2 linked regions of the Arabidopsis thaliana genome follow. The protein of the gene in region 2 interacts with the protein of the main gene of each other region in a pairwise test. Each region holds a gene or a part of one and is shown on either strand. Other genes may lie near its edges.

Region 1 (5,066 bases), on a different chromosome or scaffold from region 2:
ATGATGCACTCAACTAATTCTTTCACACATTAAGTCCGTAAATGATTTTCCGAAACCCTCTGCATATGTCTTGATCAATACAATTTATAAAGATAGTATATCTTTCTTTCTTTTTTTATTCTTAAAGAGAGTCGCTTGAAATTTACTTTAACGATTAAAGGAAAAATGAAGAAACTTTTGTTTTGATGGCTTCACCAAATTATCTGAATTTGAATTTGAAAGGTGGGGACTAACTTGACAGATTCAACTTAGAAACTTTAAATAGACCCGTTACCTAAAATTATATTTACTCCATGGAGTTTGTAATAAGTATTTAGATACTTAGTCTTAGTCACTAATACAAATAAAACTTGAAATTGAGGAAAGACAGAAAATATGTGTCGTTGACATGCATTTTATGATTGGTCGGAGAGAAGAATCAGACACAATATATCAACAAAATTTGTTTGACAACTTTTTATAATTTACCAACATATAATAATCAGGCTCCTTCTTTTTTGTTTCTGCCGTTTTATTTGCTAGTTCGTTAGAAAGAAAGAGTCAATAGTGGATAAGTTTCATGAAATAAAGTTAAAGTTACTATATTCAAATTGATGGGCCGACCAATAGAAAAGGAGAGATATAATTTGTTTCACACTCAATCAATTTGTATATAAAAAATTTCACTAAAAAAATTAAGAAACACAAAAAAAAAAAAAAAAACTTCAACGTAGATCTCTCAACTGACTTAAAGACCAAACTATATAAAGAAATTCAAATTTAGACCAAACAATTTTGAAATGATCAATTTAGACCCCATATATTGAAAAAGAAAAATACAATCAATCGGACAAAGGACCTGGTGAAGCAGGTGAACGAGAAACCTCCTCGATGAGTCTTGTGACTTCAGGCATTGTAGGACGACTATCTGGATACTGAGTCGTACAACTTATACCGATGTTTAAAAGCCTGATCATGTTCTCATTGCTGTCCGATTGATACCTTGTGAGCTCTGGATCAAACACATCTGATGGTGATTGTTGTTCAGTGATCGATGAAACCCATCTCGGTAAATCTACTCCTTCTTCGTGTAACTGCTGATGCGTTGGAGATTTCCCTGCAAATCAATACAAAAACCAATATATGAATCAACATTTTGACCAAAAATACGGTTTTCAAGATCTCTCTGTTTTTGTGTGTGTTGTTGTACCTGTGAGTAATTCAAGAATGAGAACACCGAAGCTGTAAACATCAGCCTTTTGGGAGATTTTACGAGCATCGGTTACTTCAGGAGCTCGGTAACCATCAATGCGGTTAGGTGTAGAAGTAGGGCTGATCATAGGTGCAAGACAGTAGTCAGAGACCTTAGCTTCAAAGGATTCTGACAATAGAATGTTAGATGATTTAATGTTGCCATGAGATGTTGTCGCGTCACGCGAATGGAGGTAGCTAATTGCTCTTGCGGCTCCTAATGCTATATTGGCTCTCGTTTCCCAATTCAATGGACTTCTGCCACTTCCTTTGTTCCCTACGAATTCATTCCAAAAAATTGGTTTTAAAAAATCTGTAATCACTACTAAAGAATCAAACAATAAACAGAGTTATTTATTTTGTTACCGTGTAACAGCGCAGACAAGCTTCCTCTAGACATGTATTCGAAAACAACGAGCTTTTCGTCGCGGCTGAAGTAATATGCAATCAATGTCACAAGATTGGCATGGCTTATGGATCCAAGAACCTGCAATTTCTCTCTGAACTCTTTCTCAGGAACCACGACATCTCTCAATCGTTTCACAGCCACCACTAATCCGTGATCGAAACTGGCCTTGTACGAAGATCCGAACGTTCCTTTACCAAGTACTTCCGCAGAAGCTTTCAGCAATCCATCAAGATCAAACTCGCCGAAAGATTTCACGAAAAATGTCAGATCTTTACTCACTGCAGCAGGGTTCTTTGATACACCATTTTCAGATGCACCATTAGCCACCACCGCAGGAGGACCATTCGATTCCTTAGCCACGGCTGCTGATGAGGTCGGAACAGGAGCTGCTTCGATGCTTCTCGATTGGACGACTTGCTCTTTCTTCTTCTTTCTACAGAGACAGAACACGATCAAGAAAAGCACGAGAAGCAAGACGAAACAGCCGATCACTATTCCGACAATAGCTCCGGCAGATAACTTGTCGCTTTTCCCTTTTCCTCCAGGCGTCACAGTACCGTTTCCAGTGCCATTGACAGGGCAAGCATCTAACGGCTTCCCACAGAGCAAATTGCCTAAAAAGGCGGTTTTGGGCATACCCGACAACGGATCCGGAATCGACCCGTTTAACTGATTGGATGAGACATTAAACTGTTGAAGCTTAATCTTAATCTCCGGGATTGGACCGGTGAGTTGATTATCCTGCAAGTAAAGAGTAGCTAACCGGGTTGCAGAATTGACATTATCCGGGATCCGACCCAAGAAATTATTCTGGGCGAGATTGATCCGAATAATGTTTGGTAGAGTGAAGAGAAACGAAGGAATCTCGCCGGAAAATGCGTTTCCTTGAAGATACAAGTAACGGAGAAGAGTTAGGTTTGCGAAATCCGGCGGGAGAGGACCGTTAAGAGCATTGAATCGGAATGATAAAGTTTCGAGCTTTGTAAGGTTTCCGATGGCGATTGGTAATGGACCCGATAAACCCACACCGGGTAATCGGAGTGCTGTGACACGACCCGACTCACATTGGACTCCTCCCCAAGTACACGGTGGTGCTGTTAGATTCCACAGCAATGGACGCCCATGAACACCGTCACGAAGTGCGATTAGAGCTCGTCGATCAGCTTCTAGATCTGATGTCACGGAAACGAGACATATAAAGAAGAAGAAGACTGAGAGACCTAAATTGGTCTTGTTCTTCATCTTCTTCTTACCCAAAGCTTAATCCTTTACAACAGTGAACGCCTCTCTCTCTCTCTCTGACTCGGAGATTGGTTTTTCCGAGATTTCCGACTACGTGTAGAACAGTGTTTGGAAAGAGAAAATGTCGGAAGAAAATCTTCTCACAGAAATTTCAGCTCTCTCTATCTGTCTCGACGGCTATGGGGAGATGATGAAGGAGGAGAGAGAGAGAGGCTATTAATTGCAGACTGCAGTGAATGGAAAGAAAAAGTTAATTGTTCAATTTTTTACCTTTTTAGTTTTTACAGTGAGATACAGAATCTTTTATTAATTTATTTAAATATTCCGTGCGATTATTTTTACAGCAAGAAGAAATGAGTTTGCTGTATATTCTTACATCTTTTTATTATTGTGTAATTTAGCATTTTCAGTAACAAATCATATGATTTACATATTTAAATGCTTTTGTTTCCATTTATGAAGGAATCTGGAGAGATTTGTAAGAAGTGTTATAAACATTACATAAGTAGATAAAAGATAATAATAAATACTTAATTAAAAGATACTTTAATGTGAAAATTAAACAAATACTATCCGTTTTTTTATTTTTAATGAATAATTTAAATTGTTTAGTTATGGTTTTATTATGTACGATGGAAACATGCAACTCTTGGGAAAGTATGTTATATTATTGAACGTCTCCTAAAAATGTCTGACTTAATAATACTGAACCACTACTAATTTAAATTCCTTTCGGATATGTGGAACATATTTACGTGTTAACTTTTTTTACAATATGAAATTCTTAGCTTTGTGTCTATCTAAGTCATCGGCAGAAAAAAAATGTGTTTGTACATATATAGAATAGGATTTGAGTAGTTTCAAAATTTTACTTCCTCTAAAAGTAAGAATATATTCTGTATTAAAATGGAATAACTCATATCGAAAATTTTTGGGAAGAAAATATACAAATTAGATTACCTCATTAGTATTTTAGTACTGAAGACATGATATTAAAGTAAAACAATTAGGATTTTGATGAGACCAACGTTTTTATTTCGGCCCAAACTATAATTGATATTCAGTTAAGAGTACATTGTAGAAAGTAAGCCCATTATTATTATTGATTACGGCCCATAAAATAGGCTTATACAAGAATGGGTTCTTAAATCAAACTATATATTTGAAGCCCCTTTTATTTCATGGGACAACAATATCAGTCTACTCTACTACTACTAGCATTTTTCTTTATTTGACGAAAGAGTATAGTACTTAACTAGCATAAATTGACGTTACCAAGTTTTTAAATGGTTCTTCTTATGTCATGCAAAAAACAATTTCGTAATGTATGCTTTTTTCCCACTTTCCATTCATATAATGATAAAATTTTATGAATTCATATTTTCCGTGTGAGCATTGTTCTGTGATGTTACTTTGCGTTTGCGTATTACCAATCATATTACACAATATCCCGTCGGTCCAACTTGTTATTACAATTACAAAACATACAAGTTGGGACTATATGATAAGAAATTAAGAAGATTAGGACTCTCCCACCAATGAAAATAAAGAGCTTTCGAAATTTTACAACAAGAAAGGCAAAAATAGTGACATATATACAAAATAGCCCAGAGTCACGGGAACATAATGACCCACCAAACAATTGTAATAATTGGCTGTTATCACAAACTTAATATTGTAGTACCTATCAAAATTCTAATTGGGTGGTGCGAATACAATAATAGCTCACAGACAGTTATGATATTTGGTTTAGTTCAAATTTTTTTTCGTTAAAGTATTATAAGATTCAAAGCTTTTTAGTCCTACTATATTATTTGGGAAATACATTTTAAATATAATCTTAATTTTTGTAAGTAATTACATAGGTATGCCATTAGAAATAAAATTTTAAAGAGTAAATTAATGTATCTCTTTAAGGATTAAAAAGTCAAATACTAATTTAATTAATTAAATTTAATTTAAAAACGAAATATATTATTAATTTTCAAAAATAATAACCAATCAAAATCAACATATAAGATTTGATATCTAAATTTTAATTAATTTGATTTAATTAGAAAAATGAAATACATTATTAATTTCCAAAAAAGTAACCAATTAAAATCAACAAATTAGATTTGATATCTAAATTATTGTATTAATTTTTTATTAATTTTTTATTAATTATTATAATTCACTTCTCATC
Region 2 (5,185 bases):
TAGATGTTTGAGATTGATGTTTTTCTTAGTAAAAAAACAATTAAAAAAAGTTTTAAAAGCTTATTTAACATACTAGACGTGTTACTTGCCTTATATGAAAGTGTAAAAAAAAAAAATCAGTGGTCGCAATTCGCAAATGGAATTTGGACAAAAAAGTGATCAAAAATAGCCAAAAACTGTAAGGTTGACTAACAAAGCGAGCCCTCAACCACTAGATCCTTTTGATTACGAACTCTAATTTTCGTAAGAAAGCTTCAAAAAGTAAACTAAGTATGAAACTATTTCTAGTAACTAATAAGAAATTTTCAATTATTCTAGTAAATAAACTATTTTTCGTTCTTATAATTATTCACCCTAGGAGACTATTCGGATAGGAAAATTTAAGGATTAAAACATTCTTCAAAGTCTTTCTTTCTGCTCTACAAAAAACAATATTCCACAAGTAGCAATGAAAAAAACAAATAAAATGTGGTCATACATTTTTTTTCTTCTTTTCAAACTTCTTTTTGTAGATGCTACACAAAGGAGAGATAGATGTAACAACAACCACAACCATAGTATGCTTTCTCCGCTTCTAATTATTATTGGCTACCGTTCGTTGTTGTTGCACTACTAACACCGATGTTTTACTCGGAAAATCCGGCGAGGCCAAGAAATCACCAATGACTCCAAGCTCCTCAAACTCACACCAATTCTCTATACCTTTGGTTGCCTCGTGGTTCTCGCCGCATGTTCTTCCCACGACGAAAAGATCGTAATCGAAAGCCATGGAACGTAGAAGCATTGACGTATCCGCTCCATCCAATATCTCTTGTTCCAAATAAATTGTTGATGTTTCTTCTTTTACCATTCCGGCATTGTTGCTTTTAATCAACTCTCTTAGTTCCACCGTGTCAAGCATTTGATCCCATCCTGTCGCGTCTTTGCTCTTTCCTGATGCTAGGAGGCGTAGAACTGTTAATGTTACGTTCTCTTGACGGGCCATTCGCTTCGCAAAGGCCAAAGCTTCCCTATCGTCTTTTCCTCCCACGAATATTACACACACCTATCATCAAATAGCTTAGTGTGCTTAGTTTTTCTATATATATAGTTAAAGCATCTACAACGACCAACATGGAAGCATAGTAGATGTAATTGTAAGTATACCTTAAGGCTTTCATGTGGTTCTTGCTTCTTGTTAACGAGATGGCGTTCGATAAGAATGCCGACAGAGCAAGGTGCTTGTTTCAAGACGTTGACATTCAGAAATCGGATCGCCTCAACGTCGGATACGATGGATGTTCGGTCAAGTGACCAAGTCCGGTGAAAAGGAAGAATGATAAGCGTGACAGCTTTATCAAGAGCTAGCCAACAAATGTCATCCTGCATATGGTTTGCGTTTGCGATGCAAGTGAATGTGTCTATGGAAATGGAACTGCAGACAGAACGGTGGAAATGTTCAAAAGAGAGGATGACATTTTCGGAATATTTATTTCCAGCCCCGACTCCGAGTTTCTGAACTTTGTGTGAGATCAAAGTGGGAACGTCTTGACCTCGTAACTCGACGAGGTGAAGGACGTAGCAAGTGAGAGGACTGTCTTCGGATTGATAAGAAGCTTCAAGAAGGTTGATCATGGAAGATATGTGGTCTGGTCTATGGATGCACACAAGAGTCTTTAGCTCTCCCATGTTCTTCATACTCGCTAAATTTCTCTTTTGGTAGCATATGAATTGTTTAGATGGGTCGTAGAGAAACCCGATCGCCATTGGTATGAGCAGAGAGTTGAGGACAATGGACAAGACTAGAATTGAGAATGTATCTTTGGTTACCAACTGTACCAAATCATCAATCAAAAGAATCAAAACAATGAATCTTTTCAACTTTTTGTTTTTGGCAAGAAATCATAATCATGATCAAGAATCAAAATATGAGAAAACTAACCTTGAGGCTTAGAGAGAAAAGGTAGAAGCTGAGTTCGATAATACCCTTATGAGACATTATTAGGGCAAGGATAATAGAGTCTCTCAACGGCATTTTATAGAGGTAAGGAACAATGACTGAGACAGAGAGCTTCAACAAGAAAATGAGCAAGACGAGAGACGCAACCGCAAATTTCTTATCATCGCCACTAAAGAATGTCAAAGCGCCTTTCCAAGCAGTGGTATCAGTCCTGAGCATAACGGCTGTTAAGAAAAGAGGTAATATGATACCAAAATTGAAGCTTTCTAATCGTTCGACCAATGCAGATCCAATAGGAGGTCCATTGGGAATGGCGAGACCAAGAAAGAAGGCTCCAAGTGGAGGAAACTGGCTAAGATCTTCCCAATACATACAAGATAAGCAAACCAAGACGAGAACCCCGTGGATGTATTTGTCTTCGATTGGTCTTCCTTCTCCTTTCCGCTTTATTATTTTGAACATTATCGGCCTCACAACCGCAAATGCAATGACGAGGAATAAGGTTATCTCTGTAAGTATAGCCAAACCATCAGCTAAAGTTGCTGAACTTCTAGAAACGTTCGCAATCAAGAGCAGGAGTCCAACTATATCAGAGACTAAGGCTGAGGATAAAGCAACCCGGCCAATAGATGAATGGTTCATGCCAAGGTCACGCAAGAGTCTTGCGATCCCCGAGAAGGACGTGATGCTTTCCATTAGTAGCATTACATCATACTCTTGGAAAGTGAGAGGTCGATTCTTAGCTGATTTGAGATTGAAAAGCAAGAAGCCAACAACTATAGGGAAAGTAACCGCTGCAACTCCAGTGACTCTTGCTTTTGCTTCAGCCTTGAAGATTCTCTTGACGTCCATTCTTACACCTTTGAGGAACCAGAAAATCAAGAATCCAAATGATCCAAGGCATCCTGCTACGTCGATTCTGTTTTTCGTGACCAAGATATCCGCAATGATCGAGTTCTCTCCCGATAAAGTAACTAGAACATTCAAGAGTAGCCCTGCCTGCAATGCAACATCGATTTTCTCAGCAGCAAACACACAAGTTTTGAAGAAAAAAAAAAGACAAACAAGAAGAAGAAGAGCTCACAAGCATCATAGAGGATAACTTGGGAATAGAAAGACCCAATTTCTTAAACAAGATATTAAAGCCTTGCCAAAGAAAGAAGACGAGCAAGATGACAATCTCGAGCTTCGGAAGACGATATTGCCAAAAATATAGACCTGCCGATTTAATAATAAGTTTCTCCCAAATACCATCTGAAGAGAGCTTAGGGGGATGCTCCTCACAAATTAACCCATCATATCTTACAGTTTCACCATACCAAGCCATCTCAAATATCCATTTTACTTCAGGACTCATATGTGAAATATCACCGCCTCCCATTATGCCGCCGCCACCTCCCATTCCCAAAATCTCGTTGCCGCCTCCACTAAAAGCCCCCGACATCCCGGGTCCTGTCCCGTTCCCCATTTCCATGACTTCAAAATCTTAAGTGAGTTCTTGTCAAAATGGGGAAGACGATAACAAAATAAATGTTGTGTTCCTTTTGATAACAAAGAAACAATTTGTAAACAAATGACACACAGATGTATATGCTGTTTATAGGTTATGCTGTTTTTAAAAAACACACTTTGGACATCTATAGACATATGTAGTTTTAGACCCTTTTTGAGTTGTTTCTCCACTATAAATAGTATATGTCTTCAGCTTCTTATAAGTTATAAACCACAGAAAGAAGTCAACTAAGAATCTACCAGAAAAAAAGGAATTTCTTTAAATAAGATGACTGTCTTTCTATGAATGAAAACAGCTTTGGTCACACATAAGATAGGAAACTATTTCTAGATAGTTTCATGCCAAGTTTGTCACTAAATTGGTCAAAATATATTGGCAAGTTTAACATTTTCGCATAAGATAATAACATATACTTATATTTTTTTAAGAACTAATTTGCCAATCAAAAGTAGCAATAAAGTGAAGAAAAAAAGTCTAATAAAGTGTAGAAATTAATCAAATTTTAAGTCCTAAAGTTGGAAAAATGGTAAAGAAGCACTCAAAAAAAAAAAAAAAAATTGTGTATGTGTGGGCCGAATTTGAGAAACCAGTGACACCAATAAAAACCTCATCTTTCAATCTCACACAAGTATTTGTGCCTACTCATTTCCTCCAAACGTCAAACATAGCAGCAGCCATGGCTGCCACCAACACAATCCTCGCATTCTCATCTCCTTCTCGTCTTCTCATTCCTCCTTCCTCCAATCCTTCAACTCTCCGTTCCTCTTTCCGCGGCGTCTCTCTCAACAACAACAATCTCCACCGTCTCCAATCTGTTTCCTTCGCCGTTAAAGCTCCGTCGAAAGCGTTGACAGTTGTTTCCGCGGCGAAGAAGGCTGTTGCAGTGCTTAAAGGTACTTCTGATGTCGAAGGAGTTGTTACTTTGACCCAAGATGACTCAGGTCCGTCTCTCTCAATTGCTCAAAATCTCTAATTTCTCATCTGGGTTTCTGAAGATTGATTTGATGGGCATGATTAGGTCACTCTCAGTGTTCAATCTGCTTCGTATCTGACTTTCAATATCTTCAAAGTCTCAGACTTTTTCTGTTTAATCTGCTTCATATCTGATTTTCGGTTTCTTCAAAGTTTCAGACTTTTTCTGTTTAATCTGTTGAGTTACATTTGTTAGTGTTTGGTTCTCACTGCTATGAATAACTTAAGATAAGCTGATAAAGAAAGGGATTAGCTTTAAGAGTGTTTTGCATATTCTTGCTGATTCAATGGTTCTGTGAAAGTTTACAAAGTAACCCTATATGGTTTCTTGCTAATTTTTGACTATGTAGATTGTTCTAAGTGAATATGGTTGTGTTTATGGCAAGCAGGTCCTACAACTGTGAATGTTCGTATCACTGGTCTCACTCCAGGGCCTCATGGATTTCATCTCGTAAGCTTGTTCCTCCTCGGAAGAATGAATCATCTGTTCTTCTTATAGCTATAATGGTGTAATTATGTCCTCTGTTTGATTTTGCAGCATGAGTTTGGTGATACAACTAATGGATGTATCTCAACAGGTTAATAGCAAAACCCCTGTGGCAGATTCTTTTGATACTGATGTCATGATTTGCCAAATTCTAAGACGATATCTTGTCTTATATTCTTGTAGGACCACATTTCAACCCTAACAACATGACACACGGAGCTCCAGAAGATGAGTGCCGTCATGCGGGTGACCTGGGAAACATAAATGCCAATGC

What was found.
Region 1: the proteins of ATCHX8 (region 2) and AT5G16590 interact in a protein complementation assay, tested with the Arabidopsis thaliana proteins (one large-scale study listed by BioGRID).

The regions. Positions count from the first base shown.
Region 1 is NC_003076.8:5,429,677-5,434,742, reverse strand, and holds AT5G16590 (Leucine-rich repeat protein kinase family protein), read right to left. Parts: upstream 3,160-5,066; 5' UTR 2,882-3,159; coding exon 1,597-2,881; intron 1,508-1,596; coding exon 1,190-1,507; intron 1,097-1,189; coding exon 822-1,096; 3' UTR 557-821; downstream 1-556. UniProt on the Arabidopsis thaliana protein: Might be involved in early recognition of growth promoting fungi. Appears to be specific for P.indica.
Region 2 is NC_003071.7:12,010,420-12,015,604, forward strand, and holds ATCHX8 (cation/hydrogen exchanger family protein), read right to left. Parts: upstream 3,321-5,185; coding exon 3,024-3,320; intron 2,939-3,023; coding exon 1,922-2,938; intron 1,813-1,921; coding exon 1,147-1,812; intron 1,046-1,146; coding exon 575-1,045; downstream 1-574. Other genes in the region: CSD2 (copper/zinc superoxide dismutase 2), read left to right, coding at 4,129-4,393, 4,814-4,875, 4,963-5,002, 5,095-5,185. UniProt on the Arabidopsis thaliana protein: May operate as a cation/H(+) antiporter.